Oryctolagus cuniculus: one gene and its partners. The protein of the gene in region 1 binds, or shares a complex with, the protein of each later gene. Links are inferred from orthologs where the notes say so. Each region holds a gene or a part of one and is shown in the gene's direction. Other genes may lie near its edges. The genes, in order: POLR1H, POLR1F and POLR2K.

What was found.
Region 2: POLR1H (region 1) and POLR1F share a complex: the UniProt entries of both Homo sapiens proteins name them as parts of the RNA polymerase I (Pol I) complex. The link is inferred for Oryctolagus cuniculus from reciprocal best matches to the Homo sapiens genes POLR1H and POLR1F.
Region 3: POLR1H (region 1) and POLR2K share a complex: the UniProt entries of both Homo sapiens proteins name them as parts of the pol I pre-initiation complex. The link is inferred for Oryctolagus cuniculus from reciprocal best matches to the Homo sapiens genes POLR1H and POLR2K.

The regions. Positions count from the first base shown.
Region 1 is NC_091436.1:140,425,195-140,428,940, reverse strand, and holds the start of POLR1H (DNA-directed RNA polymerase I subunit RPA12), read left to right. Parts: upstream 1-1,421; 5' UTR 1,422-1,611; exon of another isoform or gene 1,612-1,647; intron 1,648-1,731; 5' UTR 1,732-1,751; coding exon 1,752-1,887; intron 1,888-2,064; coding exon 2,065-2,165; intron 2,166-2,327; coding exon 2,328-2,437; intron 2,438-3,746. UniProt on the Homo sapiens protein: Core component of RNA polymerase I (Pol I), a DNA-dependent RNA polymerase which synthesizes ribosomal RNA precursors using the four ribonucleoside triphosphates as substrates. Can mediate Pol I proofreading of the nascent RNA transcript.
Region 2 is NC_091447.1:11,751,639-11,755,384, reverse strand, and holds the start of POLR1F (DNA-directed RNA polymerase I subunit RPA43), read left to right. Parts: upstream 1-1,349; 5' UTR 1,350-1,414; coding exon 1,415-1,668; intron 1,669-3,746. UniProt on the Homo sapiens protein: Component of RNA polymerase I (Pol I), a DNA-dependent RNA polymerase which synthesizes ribosomal RNA precursors using the four ribonucleoside triphosphates as substrates.
Region 3 is NC_091437.1:125,592,862-125,596,550, forward strand, and holds POLR2K (DNA-directed RNA polymerases I, II, and III subunit RPABC4), read left to right. Parts: upstream 1-867; 5' UTR 868-1,570; intron 1,571-2,165; 5' UTR 2,166-2,174; coding exon 2,175-2,235; intron 2,236-2,530; coding exon 2,531-2,623; exon of another isoform or gene 2,624-2,654; intron 2,655-3,249; coding exon 3,250-3,272; 3' UTR 3,273-3,603; downstream 3,604-3,689. UniProt on the Homo sapiens protein: DNA-dependent RNA polymerase catalyzes the transcription of DNA into RNA using the four ribonucleoside triphosphates as substrates.

The DNA.
Region 1 (3,746 bases):
TGACTGTAATGTGAGCTTTGGTTGGTTTGAATGTCAAGTTAATAAGGGAAAGCTGAGAAGGATGTAGGGATAATTTCAGTACCTGTTTTCAAAGGAGACAGAGAAGTGAGAATAAAGTGTCTACCATCATAACTTCAGCAACAGACTTCCATCTGTTAAGACAGATAAAATGGCCGGCGCCATGGCTCACTAAGCTAATCCTCTGCCTTGCGGCGTCAGCACACCGGGTTTTAGTCCCGGTCAGGTCGCTGGATTCTGTCCCGGTTGCCCCTCTTCCAGGCCAGCTCTCTGCTGTGGCCAGGGAGTGCAGTGGAGGATGGCCCAAGTGCTTGGGCCCTGCACCCCATGGGAGACCAGGAGAAGTACCTGGCTCCTGCCATCAGATCAGCGTGGTGCACTGGCCACAACGCGCTGGCTGCGGCGGCCATTGGAGGGTGAACCAACAGCAAAAGGAAGACCTTTCTCTCTGTCTCTCTCTCACTGTCCACTCTGCCTGTCAAAAAAAATAAAATAAAATAAATAAATAAAATGACATCCGATTTCATGGTTAAGTGATATTAGGGGCTTGTGATTTCCCCAGCATTTCCTAACTTTTTACTAGGGTTGTCTTTCCTTTATGGCAGGGAAAGACAGACAGGTGCCTCTCTCCCAAGTAAATTCACATCTGTCCTTTAGAAAAGAGATGGCTCCAGAGCTTGCACACGCAGGAGCCCCACAACAGCTACAACTGGATGGTGGTGGGAGGGCTAGAACCAGGAAACTCGTATAGAAACTGTTTCTTCAGGTCAAGTCTAAGCTACTGACGCGTGAAAATGGTGAGGTCTTCTAAAGATCCTTATTCTCATGTTTTATAAACAAGGAGCAACTCAATTAACCACCGACTGGATGACCACGACTGGAGGTGAGGGACCAAGTGGAAGACTGAAAGCCAAACTCGACCCAGGTCTTAGCAACCCCTGCCTACAGGCGTCCCCGGCCTAACGCCAGGTCCCTGTGGTGTCTGATGCCCTCCGAGGTCCTCGGCCCAGGGTCCCTGTGGTGTATGACCCCCTCCGAAGGCCTCGGCCCCCTCCCAGGCGTGCCCCTTCCGTCTTTCCCGTCCGGCCAGCGGAGCCCAGCGAGTCTCAGCACGCTTAGCTACACCCTCTGCTCCGCGAAAAAAGGGCCGCTGGGAACGGCGGGACCTGTACTTTTCTAATCCAACGAACTCTTGTTTTCTGGGGGCCCCCGTGAGTGGGAAGCCAGTGAGTCAGATGCGAGACAAGGAAGAGGAATACCCCACTACTGTGTCCAGGTGGGAAAAGGAGCCGGAGGCGCAGTGCCAGCGACTCGCCTTCCGGTCCACCACCACGAGACCAAACGGCAAGTGACGCAGCAAAACGCGCTCCCAGCCCGTCTGCCCGCCCTAAACCCCCCGCTGTGGCGCGCGAGGAATAGTGACGTCACAGCAAATTGTGCGCCCGGACGCGTCGGCGCTCTAGCCCTCGGCGCGCTCGCTGCCCCGCCGCTTGCGCACGGCCGGCGCTCTAGCCCGCGCTACCCGGCCCCTCTCGCCTGCCCTGGCGGGGTTCCGCGTCGCCGGCTGGTTGCTTGGTGGCCGAGGCCGGAGACGTACGTGGGAGGAGGGGTCGGGTTATCTGTGCCTAGGTGCTGGGGCAGACAAGGGAGGCCCCCTGCGTGGGGAGGGTGCGGCTCTCTGGTGTCCTAACGAACTGGTCGTTCCCTTTCCAGCATTCCGTCGCGTGTCCGTCATGGACGGCGCCAGCACCTGCCCCAGCTTTCAGTCGGACTTGGATTTCTGTCCGGATTGCGGCTCGGTCCTGCCCCTGCCCGGAGCTCAGGATACGGTCGTCTGTACTCGCTGTGGCTTCTCCATCCACGTGCGGGGTGAGGGGCGGGGGCCGGTGCGCGGTTTGGAGACCGGGGAGGGAGAGCCTTAGAGCGGGCGCCTGGACGTCTGGTCTGCGGAAGAACCCTGAGGGAGGCAGGCAGGCCTGGCGGGGGCGAGGCGGCCGTCCGCGCCCTCCGCTGGCCTCCACAGCCGCTTCTTGCTGCCCCGTGCAGACTTCGAAGGGAAGGTCGTGCAGACTTCCTTTGTGTTCCACAAGCTGGGGGCAGCCGTGCCTGCGTCGGCGGAGGAAGGGCCCGAGTTCCAGGGACCCGTGGTGAGTTACTGAGATGGAGGGCTGGCTGCAGAGAGGGGCGTGGAGAGGAAGCGGAGGGGCGAGTGCGGGGTCCGCAGAGTGTTGCACCGACTTCCAGGAAGGCGGAGAGCCTGGGAAGTGAGGGGCGCGCCCCCGCCTCCTAACGCACCCCTTCCCGGCCAGGTTGACAGGCGCTGCTCTCGCTGTGGCCACGAGGGAATGGCGTACCACACCCGGCAGATGCGCTCAGCCGACGAGGGGCAGACCGTCTTCTACACCTGCACCAGCTGCAAGTGGGTCTCCGCTCCCCTCCCTCTGTCTGCGCACTTGACATGTTCAGTGGCGTATTCTTGTACCACACACTTGCTTCCATGATTCCATCCCTAATAGGAAATACTTGTCTTTTGTATATCCAGTGAACTCAACCGTTTACTATTTTGTTTTTTCATTAAAAAACAAGAGAAGGCTGGAGTTGTTCACTGCAGCCAAGGTAGCTTGACCATGGTAAGAATTAGTCACACGGGATTTAAAGAACAGCAGCTTTCTGAATGGTTTGCAGAATTTAGTGTTCTGGTTCCACTAGAATATATCAGAGTGTTGTGGGCCGGCGCTGTGGCGGAGGAGCAGGTTAAGCTGCCGCCTGGGACACCAGCCTGGGTTCATGTCCTGACTGCTGAACTTCCAGTCCCGCTCCCAGCGAATGTGCCTGGGAAAGCAGTAGAAGATGGCCCAAGTTCTAGGGCCCCTGCACCGACGTGGGAGACCTGGAAGAAGCTCCTGACTCCCGGCTTCCTCCTGGTCCAGCCCCAGTATTGCTGCCATTTGGGGAGTGAACCAGTGGATGATCTCTCTGTCTCTCCCTCATTTCTTTTCCCCCCAAGGAAATCTTTTATTTGATAAGTACAAATTTCGTAAGTACAGCTGCAGGAATATAGTGATTCTTCCCACCATACCCACCCCACTCCCAGCCCACCTCCTCCCTCTCCCATTTCCAGTCCCCTGCTCTTGTATCTCCCTCTCTGTAAATCTGCCTTTCAATCAAATTTTTTTAAAAAAAAAATAAAGGATATATCAAAATGTAGCTCGCTTTTGTTTATCCTGTTTGGAATTTTATTGGACTTTCTGAAATGAGAATTGATGTATTTCTCATTAACTTTGAAAAATTACCAGCCATTATCTCATTTAATACTGTCTTTCTCCCATGTTTTTAATTCTCACATACTGGAGTTCTAATTGTTTATTATACTTTCTCCTCATCCTCCCATTTTCCTCACCCTGTCTAAAAATTTATTCAAAAGGCAGAGTTATAGAGAGGCAGAGCCAGAGAGAAGTCTTTCATCATTGGTTCACTCCCCAAATGGCTGCCACAGCCAGAGCTGGGCCAATCCGAAGCCAGGAGCCAGGAGCCTCTTCCTTGTCTCCCACGTAGGTGCAGGAGTCCAAGTACTTAGGCCTTCTACTGCTTTTTTTTTTCCCTTTGCCATAGCAGAAAGCTGGATCGGAAGTGGAGCAGCTGGGACTCGAAGCGGCGCCCATCTGGGATGCCGGCTCTGCAGGCAGCAGCTTTACTTGCTACTCCACAGTGGTGGTGGCCCATCAATC
Region 2 (3,746 bases), on another chromosome or scaffold:
AAGCAGGGAGGCGGTAAAGTTTGGGCATGGCGCTTCGGTTGTGCACGCTTCCTAAGTGCAGGACCTCCTGGGGTTCTGAGGCTAAATTCATCTTGTACGGGTGACGTTTCCCCTCTTCCGTCACCAGAGGAGACCAAATTTTCTGTTCAGATCTTGCTATGGTGAGAGTAATGTTGTCCGTGCAGCCCTTGATTTTGTTCTGAGCTTCCAAATGTGTCATACTGCTGGTATTTTCCCCATCAATGGCTGTGATTACGTCTCCGATTCATAAATTAGCTAAAGCAGCCCTGCTTGCGGGAGTGACCCGAGAAACGGAGAGGGGCTGCTGGAAGTCCTTGCAGCCCACGAGAGGGAAGCCCCATGGTCCAGGGTCCTGGGGGACTATCTGCTGGGTGCTAACGGCGCAAGACAAGTGGAGTCACATTGGAACACCAAAGCCCCACCTAAATCTGTACTGACAGAACTATGGGTCAAACTGATGATTGCTACTTAAATCCACGGCATTTGGGGGGATAGCTCATTATGCAGCAAAAATGGCATTTTTACATGGCATGTACATGAAATAATTTTGTATGGAAATAATTATGCAGAGTTAAAAATGCCATCTAACTCTACAGTATAAAACACGAATCTGATCATCTCCGCGTTAAGAAGGAAGACATTTGCCCAAAAAATACAAATCTAGCAGGTGGCAGAGCCACAGCAAGGACCCAAACTGCGTGACTTCACCTGGCTGGGTCTAGAAATAAAGGACTTCTTGCAACAATCAAAATACTCCGAACCAGTTTCTGATTGTTCTTTTTCTATATAAAACCATGCAGACATTGAAATCATTCGCACTCATCAATGTACCTGCAAGATATAAATGAGCTTAAGTCCTATACAAATCCGAGTGCCGGAACATATTGCTTTGCAACCACCAGGGTTTCTATCAGCAACTCTCACATTTACACTGCTCCACGGGCGATTTGCTTGCAAGGAATGGAAGCCACATTAAGGGGTCTGTGAGCGCCGTGCCTGCATAGGGCTGTGCATAGGGCACGCCACGGTCACGTCGCTCAAAAGACCTCGCTGCTCCTCGTGGGAAGCGTGAGGAGGGAAGCCGACCCGGACAGATGGTGGACGTGGCTTCAGACCGCATAAAATGCCATCCACGTTTACTTTTCATTTAGTGCTCTCCCACAGCATGGGACAAGGCTTCGCGCATGCTCCATGTGTACCAGGGCTCCCAGTTCCCCGAGCCCTAGAACAGAGAAGAACAGACTGCCCCCTGCTGGCCACATCTGTGTAGGCAGGGGAAAGACAGGCACCCCCCCAGGGGCGTGGCAGCCGGCCGATGACGTAGCCCCGGAGACAGGCACGACGCGGCCGCGTTGCGTCACTGGTGCGCGCCGAGGGAAGCTTGACAAGACGCATGGCTGCGGGTTGCTCGGAGGCCCCACGGCCGAAAGCGGCCTCTGAGGGCCAGGCGGTGGCACCGGCGGGCGCCGTGCCTTGCCTGGAGCTGCCCACCTACGCTGCGGCTTGTGAGCTGGTGAACAGCCGCTACTCCTGCTTGGTGGCCGGGCCGCACCGCAGGCACATCGCACTGTCGCCCCGGTACCTGAACAGGAAGCGCACCGGCATCCGCGAGCAGCTCGACGCGGAGCTCCTGCGTTACTCGGAGAGGTGCGGGTCGCGATGGCTTCCAGGTCCGCCGTCTGCCCCTCAAGGCCGGGGCCGCTTCCAGCGCGGCTCCCCTTTCGCAGGCGAGGAGCTGGGACGCTGGCTCCGGAGTAGACCAGGGGTCCGGAGACCCCGTGTAGCCTGGGCCTGTGTGGCGTTGAGCGTTGCATTTGTCCGCTTCCGGGTATGCCTTTGCGTTTGCGGTGAAGATTCGGCGTGCGGCGCTTCCACATCTCCCGCTTCCGTGGAAGATTGCGCCGGTAGCAGGGGCACAGCAGTTCGATCTTGCGAGGTGTGCGGGTGTCGTTCCGGCCCCGGGAATCACCCGGAGTTGTCTTTTCGGGGTTCCAATGAGCGCGAGGGAATTGCCATTTATTTTGTTTTTAAGAGAAAATAGTCTGTTTCGTTTTAACTGGTGAGCCTGTTGCTTTTCGGAGTGTGTGTGTCGGGGGGGGCCTTCTAATGCATTTAAATTACGGTATTAAAAAGTCGCTTGAAAACTCAGAATTACTGGGAGGGGGCGTGGTGCCTCAAATATTGCCGTGAACTGGTTTGGCTCCAAAGAGGGTCTCCACAACCAGGGTGGATGGATTCCCTGGGGACCTGTGGTTGTCCTTAAGGAATTCTGGGAGCCTGCAGAAATACCGGGATTTAGACGTCATCTAGAGCATGCACCGCTTCCTCAAGGGATCCCAGACCCCGCACGTGGGGACTTGAGATATAAAAACAGCCAGAAATTAAAGGAGCTTTAAACTGTCGCAGGGATATCGTGTCAGCCAGTACACCTAGCGAGTTTATGAAAAATCTGATTGAAATCGAAATGGAGTTAGGCTGAGAGTTAGACAAGGGACAGTGAGTTGGATCTTGGGATGTTTGACAAGAGCTTCACGGAAGAGGGTGCTTTGAGATTCTAGAATCCTAGGCAAAGAGTGGCATGCGCAGATGGGTGGTAGATGTGAATGAGTATGCGCTAGTAGTGCGAATGCTGCATGTTCTGAGTACCCTCCAGCTCCGAGACTTGGCACACTCTTGATAGATAGCCACAGTGGGACATAATGCACTTGGTAGCATCAGAGGAAGGTGAAATAGAATGAGAGAGCAGACAAGTTAAATTGTCCAAGAGACAGATGATTGGAGAGCGTGGATTTGAGAGAGATAAGGATGTACAGATAGTCTTAAAATCTGGGAACAGGCAGCTGCGTTGCTGCTTTCTGTAGCCAATTATCTCCCCCGATTGAGGCGGTGGGGTAAGTCGCTCCGAGTGGGCCCAGTAGGAGCCATTAGTCCGGAATTACGGGGTACTGAGTAAATGACCATTTAAATGACTGAATTGGACTTTACAGCCAGGTTGAGCAGGGTGGTCTGAACAGATCCGGACCCTGCCTTCTGCTGTTACTTGTGGGACATGCTGGAGACTCGGTTTATTGAGTGTAGATTCAGTGCCCCACATGTTGAACATGCATTGTCCTTCGTTAGGGACAACATGTTGATCAGATTAAGAATTACAATATTGAGAATTTATCTTGTGTAGTTGTTTATGTTTCCAGATTTTTGAGTCATTCTGAAGAATCAGTAGGGCTTGCTTCTCCCCGTTTAAATACTGGGAAAAACAGAAGAATTTCAAATGGCTCTCATGACAGTATGTAAGTCGTTTCAGTGGCATCTCCTATTTAACAGACTGTCTACCTTCTTTCCCATTGACAAAATTTTTAAAAAGGTATCTCATTTCAACTTTAGACTGTCTTCTTAGAGAAAGTAAGTAGTTTTCTAGAATCATATTGTCAGTTTGGATTAAGGTGTGCTTTTGAGAGACCACTCGGGGAGAGAAAACAATCTCTGTTCCAGTAAACTCCAAATAACTCTTTTGAGTTATTTGAAGATGGCAAATATGTTCCATTCCATTCTAGAAGTTCCAGAGACTCAAGGGTACAATTGAAGCATCCTTAAACTTGATCTAATTGTTCCCTAAGTATCTCAAGTGAAGTTACCACCTTGCCCCGCCACTGATGTAGGATTGTTTCTGAAAAACAAAAGTAAAATAGGAACATTTATACAGTGTTGGAGTATCTGTCTTTGCATTT
Region 3 (3,689 bases), on another chromosome or scaffold:
CAACAGCCCTGGTTGAAATCAGGAGCCAGTCACTTAATCCAGTTCTCCCATGTGGGTGGGAGGGAATCAAGTACTTGAGCCAGAAACTGCTGCCTCCCAGGACGGCCATCAGCAGGAAGCTGGAATTGAGAAGTGGAGCTGGGCTAGGCCAAACTCCTGCCCCCTGGAAAGACAGGGAAATCCCAGTTGAATGTCTCAAGTTGGTTTGTGGAGATGCAACCACACAGTTTTAACTTCTGGAAATGAAAGGTGAAGCTAAAGTTCTCAAGTTGATGGATGGAGTCCTACTTAATAAGATACCAAAGACACAGTGCATGTGGGGGAAGCAAGCCTGCTTCTACAATTAACTTTATAATAACTGTTAACAATTATTTCTGGGGCCAGAGCCGTGGCGCAGCAGGTTAACCCCCGGCCTGAAGCGCCAGCAGCCCATGTGGGCGCCGGTTCTAGTCCTGGCTGCTCCTCTTCTGATCCAGCTCTCTGCTATGGCCCGGGAAAGCAGTGGAGGATGGCCCAAGTCCTTGGGCCCCTGCACCCACATGGGAGACCAGGAAGAAGCTCCTGGCTCCTGGCTTAAGATCGGGCAGCTCCGGCCGTTGCTGCGAATTGGAGAGTGAACCATCAGATGGAAGTCCCCTCTCTCTCTGGTTCTGCCTCTCCTCTCTCTGTGTAACTCTGACTTTCAAATAAATAAATCTTTAATTATTTCTATAAAGTTGTAATAATTTCATTTTCTTAGCTCTGCTTCTATTCTAAGTAAAATATCTTTTGTGAAAGAAGTAAATGAATGTAAATGTTCGAATCTAATCGGCATTTATGCCACTGAATATTCTTTGAAAGAATGCAACTCCCACAAGCACGTCTTTTTTTTTTTTTTTTTTTTTTCTCCTAGGAATACATGGGACCAAGGGAGGGCCAGTGAACCGCTAAAGCTACCAAAATCCTTTAGCTTTAAGTGCGAGGTGTCGAGGGCGCTGCCCCGCAGGTGCGCCTGCACTGTAAAACGAGTAACAGGCGTGGAGGCGAGGGAGAAGCAAAGGGCTGGAGAGCAAAAACACGATCAAGCATGACAAGGACGGGAGGCGGCTGGCACACAGCCCCAGCACAGGTACCCAACAACCTGAAAACAGCCTAGAATGTGCTTTTCTACGGGGTAACAAAAAAAAAAAAAAAAAAAATCACTGGTTAACCGAGTCTAAGTCATCAGAGGAACGGCGCGTTCAGGATTCCACCGGCACTTGTCACCTCCGTCCCTCTTAGTCTCGGTCCTTCCGGAAAAGCGTTCATTTCCGCCAATCTCACGAGTCAGAAATACAAACTTCCTTTGAAGAACTGTTAAAATGATTTTCTTTCCTGAAAAATGAGAATAGCTAAGTGTTAAAAAATGTGCTTGATGTCCACAGAGTCCGTTGCGAGCAAGAAACTAGTTTTAGAGTCTTGCGCAAACTCGGTTTCCGGGCCGGGCCGGGGCGGAAGGGGCGGTGCTCGTCTTGCGTCACAAGCCAGCGCCGGAAGTTGACAGCGACACTGCGTGTTGGGAGCAGATGCGGAGTTTCTCCGTTCTACGCAGGTAAGGAGTTATGGGGCTGGGGTTTAGGTGTGGGTATTTGAGCCAAACCAGAAAGACACTTGGGGGCTAAGAAGGTCCAGTGCGAGGTTAGAGTCAGGAGATGCTGGTGGAGGAGTTGGTGCCGTCAGTGCTTTGCCTGGTTTCTTTTAGTTGAGCTGTTTAGCCATTGGGAATTATTTTAGTATTCTTCCCGGCGGTTAGTCTGTTCCGTTTTGGAGGGATATTCATGTGTTAGATGAGAACTCGAGTTTTGAGCCGAATCTGAATCCTTTTGCCTGCGCAAACTAGTATCTCTCAGCCTCGCTTTCTTCGTGTATAAAACAGGAGTGACACTTGAGGGTTGTTGTGAAGATTATAATGAAGGAACAAAATGCGGATCATTTTCTGTCGTGCCCAGTTTGGGGTCGACTCTCAGTACTTGTGTGTGTCTGTGTGGTTTGCCCCTTAGACCTAACTCCCAGGCACGGAGAAGAGCGCAGATGAGGGGGAACTGGGATCTCTTTCAGTTTTTCCTGAAAAAACAAGGGGAGGGAGGGCTGTTCGGGTTTGTGAGGAACCCCTTTGAAATACTGAGGATTTGATTCTGTGTTTGCAGGGACTGACAATGGACGCCCAGAAAGACGTTCAGCCCCCAAAGCAGCAGCCAATGATATATATTTGTGGAGGTAAGGATAACGCTACATAAAGTAAGAGTATTTTGCTTAATTTGTTTTTGAAATTATTACATTTATCCTTTGAATGAATGAGTCATTGGTGTTTAAAGTTATAAAGGAGCGCCTCGTAGCACCACTTAAAACTCTTATTTGCTCTGGAAAAACAGCATTGCCCACAACTCTCTTCTTTCCCATTTAGTATATTTTGTAATATCATACCCTTGCCTGATATGGTTAAGATAATTTGCCTGTCTGCACTGTTTTCCTTTTAAATTTGAGTAAGCCTTTTTTTTTTTTTTCTCCCTAGAATGTCACACTGAAAATGAAATAAAATCCAGGGATCCAATCAGATGCAGAGAATGTGGATACAGAATAATGTACAAGAAAAGGACAAAAAGATGTATCCTTTAACTCTACTTTTAAAATCTGAGGTAGGAGCCAACTGTAGAGTGATGCAGGGGTTGATAGACACTACTTCTGGTAGAAACCGTAAGAACTTTGGATTAATTAAAGAGATATTATTAGCATTTTTCATAGACAAGAACTGAAGCACTAAATAATTGAAATACTAGTTGATTTTGATTCTCATAAGTTTATTTTCCAGAGATTCTGTATTTACATAAGAACTGATTGTTCAGCTTGACAAATAAATTATACAAGGAGTAATACAAATATTGTGTATGCTACTTAGTAGGAAAAAGTGGAGCCAACACATGAGACTAAACACTGAGAGTGAGTTGTAATTTTCTAACATAACTTTTTTAAAATCACAAGTTATTACCTTTAGCATTCAGTGCTTTTTGATACATTGGGTTTTTTTTCATTGGTTGGGAAAAGTGCTAATAAAAATTGAAAGCTTTTATTTACTTTATATCTAGTTGTTGTAATAAATAGTGAATTCCAGGTCTTTGTGCATTTTAAATTAACAAACTAGCTTGTTGCACATGTAAAGTGATTTGGAAGTCTTCAGTCTTTTTCTGTAATTTTCAACTACATTTTTTTTTTCCTTAACTCAGATGAATACAGTGGTGGTCTTTGATGCGCGTTGAAATGTGCATTCAGAGGAATATCTTCATTTGTACTTGCATTTGCTGTTAATGTTTCTCATTGTTGTATGGCTTTTGGTTTAGCATCTTTTTGAACTACGTATGATTTCATTTTGAACCATATTGTATTTAGGTATCTTTTAATGTAAAGAAGTTAGATTACATGACTTATAATTTAATTTTATTGTTTATGTAATGTGACACAAATGAAGGTTAAAATTACTTTCTTAAACTATGCTTGCAAGCAGAACCTAGAATCATCTGGGGTCTTTGTGAAAAATGCAGATTTTTAGAGCCCTCTGAAAGTCTAATTAAATAAATTCCTTGGAAATCACTGTGTCATGAGATGTTTGTGAAATTTCCAGTGTCTTTGGTACAGAATGTAGCAGTGTGTTTGCTGTCAGCATACGTATGTCATTT